Diceros bicornis minor: one gene and its partner. The protein of the gene in region 1 interacts with the protein of each later gene in a pairwise test. Links are inferred from orthologs where the notes say so. Each region holds a gene or a part of one and is shown on either strand. Other genes may lie near its edges.

Region 1 (8,002 bases):
TATTATCATATCTGTCTCACGGCTAAAATTTTAAAAGTGTCTGTCTGTATGCTTATATATGTTTATATATGAATGTTATAGATGTGTGATTTTTCTACCTCCAGATGGTATTGACAAAATTAATTTGTAAAAGAGCTCTATTTAACTGGCTTAAAGAAAACTAAGCACTTATATAAATTAAATATTCTCTCATGAATATAGAAATTAACCCAAATGTTCTTCAAGTTTGTGTGATCTGGGATAATCTTTGCTGAATAAAAGCTAGTCTAAGTTTGTTGGTTTAATTAAAACAGGCATGTCTTCAGAGTTATCAACATTAAATTTAATGCAGACCTATAACTTTAATTCTACCCAGGTTTACTAGTCATATAATCTCATGTTATGGCTATTACACAGCATTTCAGGAAGAAAAATAATTTGAAATGATGGTTAGCTCTTTAATGTCTTGTGAAATTTTCATAAATAATCTAAACATAATTTTTAAGAACAAGTGAATTGAATAGATATAAGTAAAAGTTTATAAATGAACTTTTCAACAATAATTATGTTTTATGTATCTCTACTTAAAAATTGTGTCAAGAGTCTTAAATGTGTGTTCATAGCCATCAGATGGTCTCACTGAGCTCAGAGAAACAGAACAAGGTGAACAACGAGATGAACAGAAGAAACCTTCCACAAACCTGACATCATGACCTGTGAGTTTCACAGTGAGACAAGAACAACGTAACCCTGATGGTGACTGAGAGTGGCACTAGTGCCAAATTTTTGGTCAATCGCTCATGTGTGAGAGGATGGCCAAATGGGGAAATTGTTAAAGTCATTAAGGAGGCCATTAAACTGAGATGGCTCTAATGCCTTGGTCGCCTATGTAACCCAGGGTCAATTCCTGAAATGCACTTATATCCTAGAAAATGAAACTAAAACAATCACAAACAGCCAACTAACCTTTCCCAAATTAGGTAACTGCTTAAGCTATAGCCAATCAAATAATTTCCTTGCTTTGCTTCCACATCAGCTCTATAAAAGCTTTTTCCTGAGCTCCTGTTAATGGAGCACTTTCAGTTTGGTGCTGTCCAATTCAAATTGATGTTTGCTCAAATAAACTCTTGAAATTTTTAATGTGCCTCAGTTTATCTTTTAACACTATGATCTGAATGTTTGTGTTGCTCTCAAAATACATGTATTGAAGCCCTAAACCCAAGTGTGATGGTAGTTGGAAATTGGGCCTTTAGAAGGTAATTAGGGTTAGATGAGGTCATGAGGGTGGGCCCTCAGGATTAGTGCCCTTGTAAGAAGAGACACCAGAGAGGGAGCCCTCTCTCTCAACATGCACAAGCACTGAGGAAAAGCCATGCAAGAATACAGCAAGAAGGTGGCTGTCTGCAAGCCGGGAAGAGAGCTCTCACCAGAACCTGACCATGCTGGCACCCCGTCCTCAGACTGTTAGCCTCCAGGACTGTGAGAAAATAAATTTCTGTTGGTTAACCCACACAGTCTATGGTATTTTGTTACGGCAGCCCGAGCAGACTATTACACAATATAAATGAAGCCACTTAATCACACCACCAGAACAAAGTATGAATAAACATCATTGACAACAGAGAGAGACTAAAACTCCTGTGAACAGGTACAAAATGCGAGAGCAAGCATACTTAATCCCTCTCTTTCTCATTCAGTTGGAGACACATTTATTGAGTATCCGAAGTTTGACAGTCTCTCCAATTTTCTTTGAGGTTTCTTTGGAGTTGTTCAGAGTCAAGTTGAGGAGCACAGATATAGTCAGATAATTTCAGCAAGCGCAGTAGCAGGGATGCATCTAGAACTACTCTGTGCACCTGGAAGAGGAAGCTGATACTGCTGCTCACTGAGAGAAGGGGGAGGTCAGGGGGCTCCATTTAAGGACTGACACTTGCACTAGTCCTAAGCAAGGCAGGCACATTAGGAAACAGGCAAAGGGCATTCCAGGCAAAAGGGAGAAAGATTGATTCTTAGATTCTGAATGAGTCCCTTTCCTTCTTTCTACTCTTAACCCACTTGAAAATGTTGTCATTTTTAACATGAAATAGTTTACTTCATGAGAAGTAAAATGCAGAGCATGTTTCTCTGCATAACCAAGCAAAGCTGGTGATCAGGTCTGCTCTGCACATCATCTTGCCTGTACCTCCCCAGCCGCAGACCTGTCATTATGCGGCAGGTCTCATCAGGTTCCAGAAAGAACTCCTCTTTTCAGAGGGGTGTGGAACAAAATCAGGAACAAGGCAGTGAGCAGAACGGGCTGCTACACCGGTCAGCTGGGATGGCTTTCTTCAAGCATCATGGTGTTACCAGATATCTATCTGGAACTAGGGAGAAGAGAAGAGGCAGGTGGTCCCTGCTGCTGTTTCCCTTACCTGATCTCTTCAACACGTCTATCGGTGACCTCAGCTGGCATAATTACATGTTATAGCATATGCAAGGTATCCTCTGAGCTGTTTCGTAATTTCTTCATAATTGAGCTCCAGATTTACTACTTACAAATGACATAAGGGAAATAAGATAAAACTGTATTGACAGGAGAAAAATAATAGTAATAATTAATGTATTCATCAAATTAAGTCAATAGCCCATATCTTTAACAATTTTTTCACTAGAATAGGGTCATATTATATGTTTGGAGAAAATATACCACCTAGAAGTGATCAGAGGTGGAAAAATTATGAAATTTCAAAGGAATTTCTTAAGTTTGAAATATATGAAATGTTACAAACATCATCATTTCCAATATTTTCTTCCCAACTGTGAATTGAACTTACATTTGCCCATAGAAATAGAGGAGTTCTAGTCAAAGGAAATCCTATTCTAAAAAGATGATTTATCATGAAAAACATACTGCCTCCTAGTGAAGATTATGCTACCAGCCTACCTTCAGTTGTACAAGGACTTTAAGAAGCTTTTGCAGCTCATTGAATAAATTATTAGTTTAATGAAAGAACAGTTTTTCCATTCTCTTTCATACAATAGGCTTTTGCAAGAAACTGACCTACTTTGGCCTAACAGTAACTCTAAGTATTGACACCATGATGCTTTTACAAAGTACTCTAACCAACTATCCTAACAGCTTCTGACTGCACTGGTATTGCCAAAGCAGGTCTAACAGCAATCACACAAGATTTCACTCACGCACTGTACCAGTGCCCTAAGTTCTTATGGCAACCAAGCTTCAGGATTTTCCAGGTAAGTTCATTGTATTACACTGCACCATTGGTGCCATAAGGACAATCTCCCACAATCTGAAAATTTAAAAATATGGCCACTGTAGTAGACAGCTTCTAAAATGGCTCTTAATGATCCCCACCTGCCAATAATTCATGCCCTTACCAAATCCTCTCTCCTTGAATGTGGGCTAGACCTACTGACTTTCTTCTAAGGAACAGAATACGGCAAAAGGGATGTCACTTCCGAGATCAGGTTACAAAAGACTGTGACTTCTGTCTTGCTTGCATTCTCTCAGGTTCTCTCACTTGTTCACTGTGATGAAGCAGGCTGCCAAGTTGTGAGCTGCTCCAAGGAGAGGCCAACATGGCAGGAGCTGAGGGCTGCCTCCAGTCAACAACCAGCAAGGAATTGACATCCTTAGTCCAATAGCTTTTCAATCCTGGCAACAACTATGTAAGTGAGCCTTGAGTGAGTTCGACTTTTGTCGACTCAAGTGTCAACTTTTGTGGACTTTTGTGCCTGGCTTCTCTCACTTAGCATAGAGTTTTCAAGGTTCATCCATGTGGTAGCATATGTCAGAATTTCATTCCATTTTATTGCTGAATAGTATTCCATTGGATGGACATACCTCCCTTTGTCTATCTATTCACCGTTTGATGGGAATGTGGGTTTTTTCCAATTATTGGACATTTGTGTGCAAGTCTTTTTGTGCTCACGTGTTTCACTTCTCTTGCTTTGGTAGATATCTAAGAGGGAATTGCTGGATCATGTGGTAACTCTATGTTAAACATTCTAAGGAACTGCCAAACTGTTTTCCAAACTGGTTGCCACATTTTACATTCCCACCAGCTTTGTATGAGAGTCCCAATTTCTCCACATACTCACTAACACATGTTATTGACTGTCTTTTTGAGTAAAGCCAACCTACCAGGTGTGAAGTGGTATCCCATTGTGATTTTGACTTGCCTTTCCCTAATGGCTAACAATGTTGAGCATCTTTCCAGGGGTTTATTGGCCATTTGTATATCTCCTTTGGAGAAATACCTATTTAGACACCTCACTCATTTTTAGTTGGGTTTTTTTCATTTTCAGTTGTAAGAGCTCTTCATATATTCCGGGTACAAGTCATTTATTACGTGCATAAGATTTGTAATATTTTCTCATAAGAAAATCACTTTAATTCACTCTACGTGGCATAAATAGAAAGTGTAATAATTCTTGGGCTTAAGTTTGGGTACGAGTTTAGCATACGTTTATAGCTATGAAGCTGACTGTTATTAAAGTGACCTCTTAAGAAACCTAGACAGATTAGGGGGACCATCTGCCTCTTGATTGCATAGCCCAAGATTGTCAAGCACTATTCCCTATCACACAACTAGTAATACAGAATTTTGCAGAACAATCTATTTCCTTTATCATTATAGACTAGACAATACATCATTTCTTTCAGTTTTGATTTAGGATTAGAATTAGGAATACATTTCTACCTGTAGAGGGCAGTCATAATACACCCAGACAATCAGAATAGGAGGCTCTACCTGGAATAGAACACTAAGGATCTGCGGATAAGCTGCTGATCCAGAAAATAGATAATTCTTTTGCTTCCATTGGTGTAACTTTCCAGGGAGGCCCTCAGCAGACTGAGAGATGGCCCAGCATCAGCCAAAAGAAGAGAAATAGAGTGGACCCGGAGCCAGTGTTAAAATCAGGCCACAGGACTTATTCGGAGCCCTTATTATGCCCCAGCTTTCCCAAGAGAACCAAGAGTGCCTCCAGAAACATTTCTCCAGGCCATCTATGTGGAAGCAATTTCTGCCCCTGCCTCAGGCTGAGGGATATAATGCAAACATTCAGCAAGCCATGGAAAATGAAGGTGGGACCAAGGCTGGGCATGATGTCCAGGTAAGACAATCTCCACAATCCATGATCCTTTCTTGACAAGGAAAGGGCTTATGCAGAACGAATATAAACCATAAGCAAGCTTTAGTGCCATTGCTCACTTTATCTCAGTGACGATATCTCAAAAATGTTTTCAAACCAACGCCAAGAGAAAAACTAGAACCTTGATGATAATTACCTGATCTGTCTAGCTTTCTCCAACCTATAAAGCTTCTCTTTACCAATACAAATGACTATTGAATTATTTTTGTTTGTTTCAGGGGGTAGTGTTTTAAAAAGCAGACGACCTAGACATAGATTTTTGTGGCAATTGCTAGTAACCGTTGAATGTTTTTCTCTGATATAAAGATTATATCCCATATAATAATGAAAGAAAAATTATAGACTGCTTTTTATAAAAATTGGTAGAGAAAAAAATTGATAAATGAATACAGAAACATAAGAACATTGAGCTCAAGGGGTGTTTTTCCTAAATTCATGGTTTCCTAAGGTAGATTTCCTAAGCATGAATTTCCACCGCTAGATAATATTATTTTCCCAAAGAGTGACAATTTTCCTGCTCAGTGTTGTGTGTATCTTTGCAGAAAGTACAGTTTAAGTCTGTAAATCCTCTTAACTATTAATAGAACCATCTCTTAAAGGTTATTTGGTGTGGAGGGGGACAGGCATGTGTTAATGTCTAACAAATAATGAGCAGAGCTTAGAATTAAATGCTGCAAAATCATACTACAGCAAACCCATCCAACTGCTGAAACACTAGAAAATTCATCTGTCCCTGTGCCACAGCTCATATCCTGATAATAATCATCATTTATTTGGAGACTTTCTATTTAATTCTCTGGATCTGCCCCTTTCCTGATGTTATTTTAATCAATTGGCATAGGAGAAAAAAAGTTTTAAAAAAAGTCATTAGGAAGCTTTTTCTGTAGAAATGTATTCACCTTTGTTTCTAAGCTTTCAGAGATCTGTGAACAAATAATACATGAATTTCCACACTCCCTATTATCACCTAAGCACTAGGTCTTTAGGAAACTAGAATGAAATGGGATATCGTGGCCAGAAGTCCTTAATTAATGGGAATCTAAATCTAGGCGACACGTGCAAAAGAGATTTCTAGAAGGTAGAGTTTGGAGGCTCCTCTGAGGAAACAGACAGCAACAACAATATACATATGTTGTGTGTGTGTGTAAATATGTATAATATATGGACACACACGTATAATTTCAAAGTCAAACTGTCTTGAGGGTATGCTTTAAGCAGAACCATAGGCAAATGAATTGGAAAGGTATTTAAGAATCAGCAGTACCTTTCCATAGCGTCCTGGAATCAACTGCACTGCGGGCGCCAGGCGATCCAAGCTGCCATCCTGACCTCATTAACCCAAGTACACCAGCTCCAGCCTGTGCAGCAGCGGGCGTGGGCAGTCAGGAGAGATCCAGCTGGGATGCTACTGGCCTCTCCACTCAGTTTTGCCTTTTTAAAAAATCTTCCTATATTGCATCTGAATATAGATGCACATGTCCCTCTTATAGCAAGTATATGAATGGCAGAACTCAGTTCATTTTAATTCTACAAATGTCCTTGAGTCCTTGCTATCCCCAAAGCCTTGAGCTAGATTTTGAGAAAGAGAAAGATATGCTCCTCTCTCTCTACAGACTCACGATATATTGGGAAAGACAAACATATCAACATATTATCATCATATCATATTATCATATTATTGGCATGACTCATGTCAATGTAATTCAATCAGTAAGGCAGTAAGAAACTAGGGATGGAATATAATCAATATGAAGTAAAACAACTGAAAAAGGCCTAATGAAAATGTGAAAGAGGTGAAATTTAAGGTAGACATGAAATAGGAATGGAGGAATGTAGAGAAGTAGACAGGGAGAACATGGGCTAAAATGTGTCTAGACATCCAAGGCCCGTGTTACAACCCTCCAAGATCCTCACAACCTAAGCCTAACACCACATAAAATATTAAACCAAAATGGATCATGGCCTTAAATGTACAACAATATGTAGAACTATAAAACTGCTAGAAAAAAATGATAGAAAATCTTTGCGACGTAAGTCAAGGCAGAGTTCTCAAACATCAAAAGCATAATCCCTAAAGGAAAAATTGATAAATTGGGCCTCATCAAAAATAAAAACTTTTGCTCTGCCAAAGACCCTATTTAAGAGGATAAAAAGACAAGATACAGACTTTGAAAAAACACTTGCAAACCCCATATCTGACAAAGGCTTTGTATCTAGAATATATAAAGAACTCTCAAAAGTCAAGAGTAAAAAGCCAAACAATCCAAATAAAAATATGGGCAAAAGACATGAACAGACATTTCATCACAGAGCACATACAGCTGGCAAACAAACACATGAAAAGATAGTCAACATCGTTAGCCATTAGGGAAATGCAAATTAAAACCACGATGAAATATCACTACACACCTATCAGAATGGCTAAAGTGAAAAACAGTGACAAAACAAAATGGTGACAAGGATGTAGAGAAACTAGATCACTCATACATTGCTGGTAGGAATGCAAAATGGTACAGCCAGTCTGGAAACAATTTGGCAGTTTCTTATAAAACTAAACATGCAACTATCATATGGCCCAGCAATTTCACTATTGGGCATTTATCCCAGAGAAATGAAAACCTATGTTCACGCACACTGCATATGGTAATGTTCATAGCAGCTTTATTCATAACAGCCAAAAACTAGAACCAACCCAGGGCCGGCCCCGTGGCTTAGCGGTTAAGTGCGTGCGCTCCGATGCAGGCTGCCCGGGTTCGGATCCCGGGCGCGCACAGACGCACTGCTTCTCCGGCCATCCTGAGGCCGCGTCCCACATACAGCAACTAGAAGAATGTGCAACTGTGACATACAACTATCGCCTGGGGCT
Region 2 (7,197 bases), on another chromosome or scaffold:
ACCAATTCTTGATCCTAGATCTGGGTTGATCTAGAGAAGATACTGTGGTAGGTAGACCTGACTCATCTGTTCACTTGACTTTTAATTACTAAAATGACTCCAGAGAGTGGGTGAAAGATGAGTAATTAGGTACCTGTTTCATCAGCCACATTCCACTGATTTTCAAGACTATTTTATTTTAGAAATCTTCCAGGGACTTTATTTTCTAACAAATATTTCTACTCTGCTTTTGTACATCTGAAATTTCTAACACATAGGGACTCGGATCCAGAACTAGGGAGCAGAGCATCCTAAGGATGGCTTCTACAAGAGCTTGCATTCTAGGGCCGTATGACTTGAGTCACCTGCAGCAGGCACATCTTGAGAAATTGGAACAGGCTCCCCTCACTGGTCACCAGTGCTGCCTTCTGCTTTCTTCCCAGTTTCTAAGGGCGAGATTTACCTATTGTCTTTGCAAAGGCATCTTGCTTGTCATCTTTGTTTCTCATTCCGTGGCCAACATAGAGAGATGAGAGTTTCCCTATTTCATGAGGCACCAGTCCATATACTAGAAAGCCTTGTCGGTGACAAGGCATCAGGGGCCTGTGTTCCTTCTAGCCCCAGTTCCACACCAGTGATCTTGGACATATCGCCTAATCTGTCTGGTATTTTGATTCTCTTCCGAAAAATGAGATTACTGGACCAGATGCTCTCTAAGCTCTCTTCCAACACTTGCCAAATCTAAAGCTCAATGAACTTAGTTTAATGACCTGGAGTATCCTAAATCTATCTGTTCACAATTTCCAAAACTATATCCTGAAACTTCGTGAGGTCACTGTTCAACATTTTCATCTTCTTCCTGTCTTGGATCTCATAGGAAGGATTTTCCTTTATTAGCAAAAGTAGCTCATGATTGCCCTTGTGGGTGAAACTGGACTACCCTTTGAATAAGGGCTAAAGTCTTCCCCCAAGCTTTCCAGTGACTGCAAAAGAACCATCCTAATGTGAATGACTGATTGCCCCTTCTTAAAAGCTTAGATATATCCTATAAAATATTTTTAGAATAAAGCTTGACTTTTAAGTAATCTCTTAGAGAGCTTAAAGAGGAGAGGACCTTTCCCAGAAACATATCTCTCTGCCCTGACCTCCCCCTCTCTACTGAGGAGTTATAGCCACTGGTTTGTATACAGGAACCAGAAGGTCTGAAGAAGGGGAGAGGCCTGGAGCCAGCTGCTCAGGGGACAAAGATCTAAAGTTGTACACGTGTGCCTTTTTCCAAAGTCAAGCAGAAATTATTTTGAATTGCGTGCAGTACTCAGCGACACTGATTTTGAACAATTAAATTCACTTCATATTTTAGGCCAGCTCAAGGAACAAAAATGACCAAAGATTCAGAATTAGCCAGGATACCTCTTGTAGTATACGTATGCCCAAGAACGAATTCAAGGCATTCCATCAACATGGTTCAGCTCTGAAGACTATCTTTGGAAACTCAATATACATGCATAAAAAGACTCACCTATTTGCTTCTCCAAAGATGATGGTATATGCCTTTGGCTGGTAGACTGGCAAAAGAGAAAAAGAAAAGATGTATAATAAATATGAAGTTCTTAAAGCAAAGAAGGCAGAATTGTCAAATAAACCAAGCCCTGGAAAGGGAATCTAAGTACCTCAGAATCTCTCCTACCTTAGACTTTGGCCAAGCAATTGTGCCTCACCCTGCCTCAGTTTTGTGACTTGGAATAGTTCTGATATTTTTAGGTATTTTCAAGGAAATCTAGTTTGGCCATTTGAACACATTCACTTCTAAGCGAGACTCAAAACTTCCTTGTCTCCTCAATCACTAAGCCTGAGGTAGGCAGTGGCTCAGCGGGCTGACGTGCCAAGTGAGAAAGGGAGAACTGTAAGTGCCAGTCCTATTTTGGCCCTTATTCTTTACCAGATAGAAAATACTCTTTTCACTCATTTGAGCCTCCATTTCTCTGCCTATAGAATAGAATGACTGGGATGATCCATTTCTAAGAAAAAAGGATCAAAAGTACTTTGCAAGCAAGACCGTGGTCCCGGTGGACCATGGTAGCCCTACACCCTCCCCTGCAGCAGAGCTGTCTCCCGCCCGTGCCTCCAGGGCACAGCAGTCCCCACGCCCATGCTGGCTCACCTCTCGGAGTTCGGCCAGCTCCTTCTGTAGGTGGAAGAGCTGAAACATCCCCAGCCCCAGTCCAACCAGGGCCACTAGAACCATGAAAAACATCACGAGGAGACACAGGCCCGTGTTGTGGTCCCTCCTCTTCTTCGGAGGTGGCCGTGGTAGTGGAGGCAGTGGTGGCCGTGGTGGTGGCGGTGGTGGTAGTGTTGTTGGGGGCGGTGGTGGTGGTCTCCTTTGCCCTGGCCTTCCTGGCACAGAGGATGGGCAGGGGAGTACTGACCCTGGAGAGGCCCAGGGAGAGCTGGCACTGCTGTCCACCCAGTAGATTTGGGGGTACGAGTAATTCAGGTGCTGCTGCATGGCAGCCAGTGACTCAGGCCAGCCCCCAGCAAAGGATTTTCCTTCTTCTCAATCCTGTGGAGGCCCAGGTGGCTAGGAGTTGCCGACTGTTGGAGAGAAGAGAAGCAGGTTCTCTCTTTATAGAGTTTCCATAGCCAAGGGAAACACCTCTCTCTCGTTCTCTCTCTTTCTCTCTTTTTGCTTCTCAGAGAGACACCCACTCACTCTGCATCTGAAGCTGAGAAGCCTCAAGAAGCTCAGAGTGAACCTCGGGAAGTTTCCGCCCACAATTTTCTGATGAAAGCCTTCAAAGTGCCCTGCTACCTGAAAGGCTGGTAGGGTAGGCTCGTCTTTCTCAGGCCCTGCGAGAGCAGGTAGCACTGGGTGCAGCCCTGTGGGCTTTGACCACTGCCCAGCCACAGGGACAGTGACCAGAGGGGGCGTGTTCAGGCACTGAGGGGCGAGACCATGGAGTTGTGGCCAGAGGAGTCGCGTCCACGTCTTACCTTTTGCATGAGGGAATCATCCCCTGCTGCCACCCCTTCCCCACGCCGAAGTGCTCTTCACCCTGACATTGCACAGCACTGTAATTTACAGGTTAAAAACCTGCCCCACCCACTCTCTAGAGATTAGATCAGAGGTTACAAGCCAGTGGCCCGTATGCCTTGTGGAACCCACAGACCTGCTTTGTTTGTGCCTCACGATGTTTTTTCTTTTCATTGGTTGTCCCTTTTTAAAATTGGCATATTCCAAATAAAGATATATATACTTCTATTCTGTTTTGAAACATTAGAATGTTGGACATCTCAAGGCCATCTCTGCAAACCCCGTCAGCTGGAGCTGGGCAGCAGCTGCCCCATGGATGAGACATAGGTGCTGCAGGTTGCCCAGCCTGCATCACCCTCCACTGGTCCACACACCATCGGCCACATGAAGTGGCCTTCCCGGTCCCTCTGGGCATTTCTGTTTGCAGCCTCTGTTACGGTTGTTGGATGAAATACATGGTGCCTAGTTAAATTTGAATTTCAGATAACCATTAAATAATTTTTAGGATAACTATGCGCTAAACATTAAATGGAATATACCAAAAAAGTCTTCGTTGTTTATCTGAAGTTCAAATTTAACTGTTTGTCCTATTTGTTTGTTTGCTTTTTACTAAAGATGGCAACTCTACTTGGACTGACGTCATCCTTTTCTCTGACTTCAAATACCATTTATATGCCAATAACTTCCTAGAGCTCAGCTCCAGTCCCAAGCATTCTCCCATACAAACCGTATAAACCTCCCATAAATCTCTATTTTCCGCTTTATTGGAGGACTCTACTTTTCGAATTCCATTAGTTTCTATTCCATGCTTTGGCATTACTGCGGCTATCATCCCGGCTCTCCACTGGACCAAACATCAAACTTCTTTTCCTGCCACATTCTGCCCACCCCGCACCCATCTGCCCACCCCACTCCATTCCCACTCCCAATGTAACCTTAGCACGACACACAGGCTCTTTACAGCCAGACCCCAACAGCGAGCTCTGTCTCCTCTCCAGGCACTTCTGCCCACATCCCCCTCTCCATTCACGAGACAGTGTGACAGATGAGACCAGAATGACTGCACAAGGTTCTTACTGTCTTTTAGAGGTGGGCAGGTTTAATGTGCTTTTGAACTCATGTACGGTTTTATTCATAGTTATGAAAAATGGTAAGTTTAAAGTTCATAAGTTGGAGGCCGGCCCAGCGGTATAATGGTTAAGTTGGGACGCTCCGCTTCTGGCAGCCTGGGGTTCACAGGTTCGGATCCTGAGCGCAGACCTGCTCTCTGCTCATCAAGCCATGCTGAGGTGGCATCCCACATAGAAGAACTAGAACAACCTACAACTAGGATATACAACTATGTACTGGGGCTTTGGGAAGGAAAAAAATAAAAAGAGGAAGATTGGCAACAGATGTTAGCTCAGGGCCAATCTTTCTCAAAAAAAGAAAGAAAAGAGAAGAAAAACCCTTAAAATATCCTGAAAATACTCTAACAAAAATTATATAGAATCATATTTTTAAAATTATAAAAATTTTACTGAAAATAGCAAAGATTCAAATAAGTGGAAAAATACCCCACATCCTGGATGGGGAGGATGGAAAGTGTTGAGCGATGGTTAGGGGTATTAGATGGTTCTGGAGTTAAACTGCCTGCGGTCAAGTCCCAGTTCTTCCACTTGTTAGCTCTGTGACCTGGACAGGCCACTTTCTCTCCTCTGTGCCACAGTTTTCTCCTCTATAAAAATGGGCATGATCATAATAGTATCTATTTCAGACAGCCCTGTGAGGATTAAATGACTCAAAGCATTTGATACGCTTAAAATAGACTCTAGCATCAAAGCAAGCACTCAACAAACTTTATTGTTGTTGTCGTAAATGTAGTGAATCTTCCCACATATAATTCATCTCTAGACCAAATGTAATTGACCTTCTTCCATTAAGGCTACAACAAGGTGGAGAGCGGGAGAGAGGTTTCTGGGGAAAGTACAAAATTGATGCCTGACACCCAGCATCCTCAGAGATTCTAGCAGTGAACTGATGGACTGAAGGGCCCTCTGTTTCAGGCTAAGACCTCCCTGCTTTTCTGTCTCAAACTGCCACAGAATCTTTCAGCATTTTTTAATAAGAATTATTCTGTATTTTCACGTCTCTCTCTCTGCCCTGCTTCTTCTCTTGATTCATTCTGTGATAGGAGGAATCAGAATCTTAATACCTGCCCCCAGCCCACCCAGGACCCTCCAATCACAGGGAGAGTCTGAACTGGAATAGAGACAAAGAGAGCCACCTTTAAACACTGGAATCGCTCTGTGATGATGCCACCAAACATCACAAGTTGGCAAGATCATGGAAAAATAACCACCACTGCAGACAATAACAGGGACCTATCACAATTTGGGGTACTACCAGCACCTTGTTAATTAGCAGAAATAATCTTTTCAAAGTGTCTCTTAGAAGCTCTGTGATTGCTGAAGAAAAAAATATATATATTCGCCTTCGAGAGATGCACTGAACAGATAAACTAAAGAGCCAGCGGGCTGGCAGCTTCCACACATGGAAAACCCAAGTTGAAGAGCTTCGGTCATCTTCACCGTATCCCCCTTACTTGAGCCTGCATCTCTGGTTCTGCAACCAGGTTCCTTGAGGATGGACAGCAGAGAGAGAGTCAGAGCTGGCGATTTCTTTCAGGAGGAGGGATAGGATTGCCAGTCACAGAGATTTAAAGATAATGGGTGAGACTTGGGAGCACATTTAAGTGCAGGACCAAATCAGAGAAACTTCCTTGTGCAAGTTGTTAGAATTTTTAAAGTATCTTTCATCTATTTCATTAGATGAAATTTTAAATTGTCTTTAATTATGGTCCCTCTAGCATTGTAATTCCCTTCAGAAATTGTCCTGACCCTTTAGTAAAAGGATTCAAGTGTGCTTCCCCAGTTTAGTGTGTTAGTCTTGTGGAATTTAAAAGGACAGAGTGGTAAGGAAAAGGGCCACCTATTTCTTCCCACCCATCCAGTGTCTTAGCAGGGAAGTTAACTCAGTGGGCCGGAGCCCAGAGCTCTAGCCGTGACTGGGCAGGAGCGTAGAATGGTGCATGATGAAAATAGCAGCTGATCATCCCCAGAGGTGAGCAAAGGCCCCAGTGCACTCTTAACTGGAGTCTGTTCACAAACATGTACCCTACACATTTAATGTCACTAAGTACCTCCAGGCTGCTCGTCACAGTGGCTGAATCTATTGACACCAACACCAACATGACTATCTTATCCCATGTCTTCATCTCTACTTGGTATTATTCATCTTTCTAATTTTTACCAAGCATTAGGGTTATAAAGTTGTATCTCGTCTATTAGTTTTCCTTTTTCTGATTTCTTTTGAGGTTGAATATCTCGTCATATACTTGTTAGACCTTCACATTTTCCCTTTTGTGTATATTTCCTGTTCATACACCATGTCCATCTTTTAACTGGGTTTCTTATTTCTCTTGGGCTGATTCCCAGGGTTTCCTCGTACCTTATATCCTAGATATTAATCCATTGTTGCTTTTAGACATTGCAAGTAAATTCTCCCACACCACCACAAATTTCATATTTAGGCTTTAATCTGTCTGGAGTTCGCGTTTGTGTGTGATGTGAAATAAGTCCATCTTTGTTTTTCTCCACATATGAACCAGTTTTCCCAACACGAGCCATCTTTTCCCCCACTGAATTACAGCAGTATATTTATCATATATCAAGTTTACATATTCTTTCTTAGATAAATTGCTTGATACTTTGTAATTTTGTTATGCTTATAAGTAGTGCCTTATTTTCTGTGGTATTTTTAGATGAGTAGTCTATAAGATGACCTAATGATCCCCTATCTCCTGGTATTCATGCCCTTTATAATGGCCTTCTCTTGAGTGTGGGCTAGACTTATTGACTCACTTCTAACGAATAGAATATAGCAGAAGTGATGAGATAGTGCTTCTAAGACTAACTTATAAAAAGACTGTGGTTTGCATATTGCAGATAGCACTTCTCATTGTATCCTCATATGATGGAACCAGAGAGAGGAAGCAAGCTCTCTCATGACTCTCATAAGAGCACTAATCCCATTCATAAGGGCTCCACCTTTATGACTGCATCTAATCCTAATTTCTTCCCAAAGGCCCCATCTTCTAATACCATCATGTTAGAATGTAGAGTTTTGACATATGAATTTGGAAG

What was found. The genes of interacting proteins can lie anywhere in the genome.
Region 2: the proteins of RGS20 (region 1) and FASLG interact in binary tests that used the Homo sapiens proteins (3 or more experiments, as listed by UniProt). The two-hybrid records come from large-scale screens. The link is inferred for Diceros bicornis minor from reciprocal best matches to the Homo sapiens genes RGS20 and FASLG.

Annotation. Positions count from the first base shown.
Region 1 is NC_080772.1:7,745,140-7,753,141, forward strand, and holds the start of RGS20 (regulator of G-protein signaling 20), read left to right. Parts: upstream 1-4,932; coding exon 4,933-5,091; coding exon of another isoform or gene 5,092-5,097; intron 5,098-8,002. UniProt on the Homo sapiens protein: Inhibits signal transduction by increasing the GTPase activity of G protein alpha subunits thereby driving them into their inactive GDP-bound form.
Region 2 is NC_080743.1:93,508,469-93,515,665, forward strand, and holds the start of FASLG (tumor necrosis factor ligand superfamily member 6), read right to left. Parts: upstream 3,025-7,197; 5' UTR 2,974-3,024; intron 2,575-2,973; 5' UTR 2,489-2,574; coding exon 2,141-2,488; intron 1,545-2,140; coding exon 1,499-1,544; intron 1-1,498. UniProt on the Homo sapiens protein: Cytokine that binds to TNFRSF6/FAS, a receptor that transduces the apoptotic signal into cells. Involved in cytotoxic T-cell-mediated apoptosis, natural killer cell-mediated apoptosis and in T-cell development.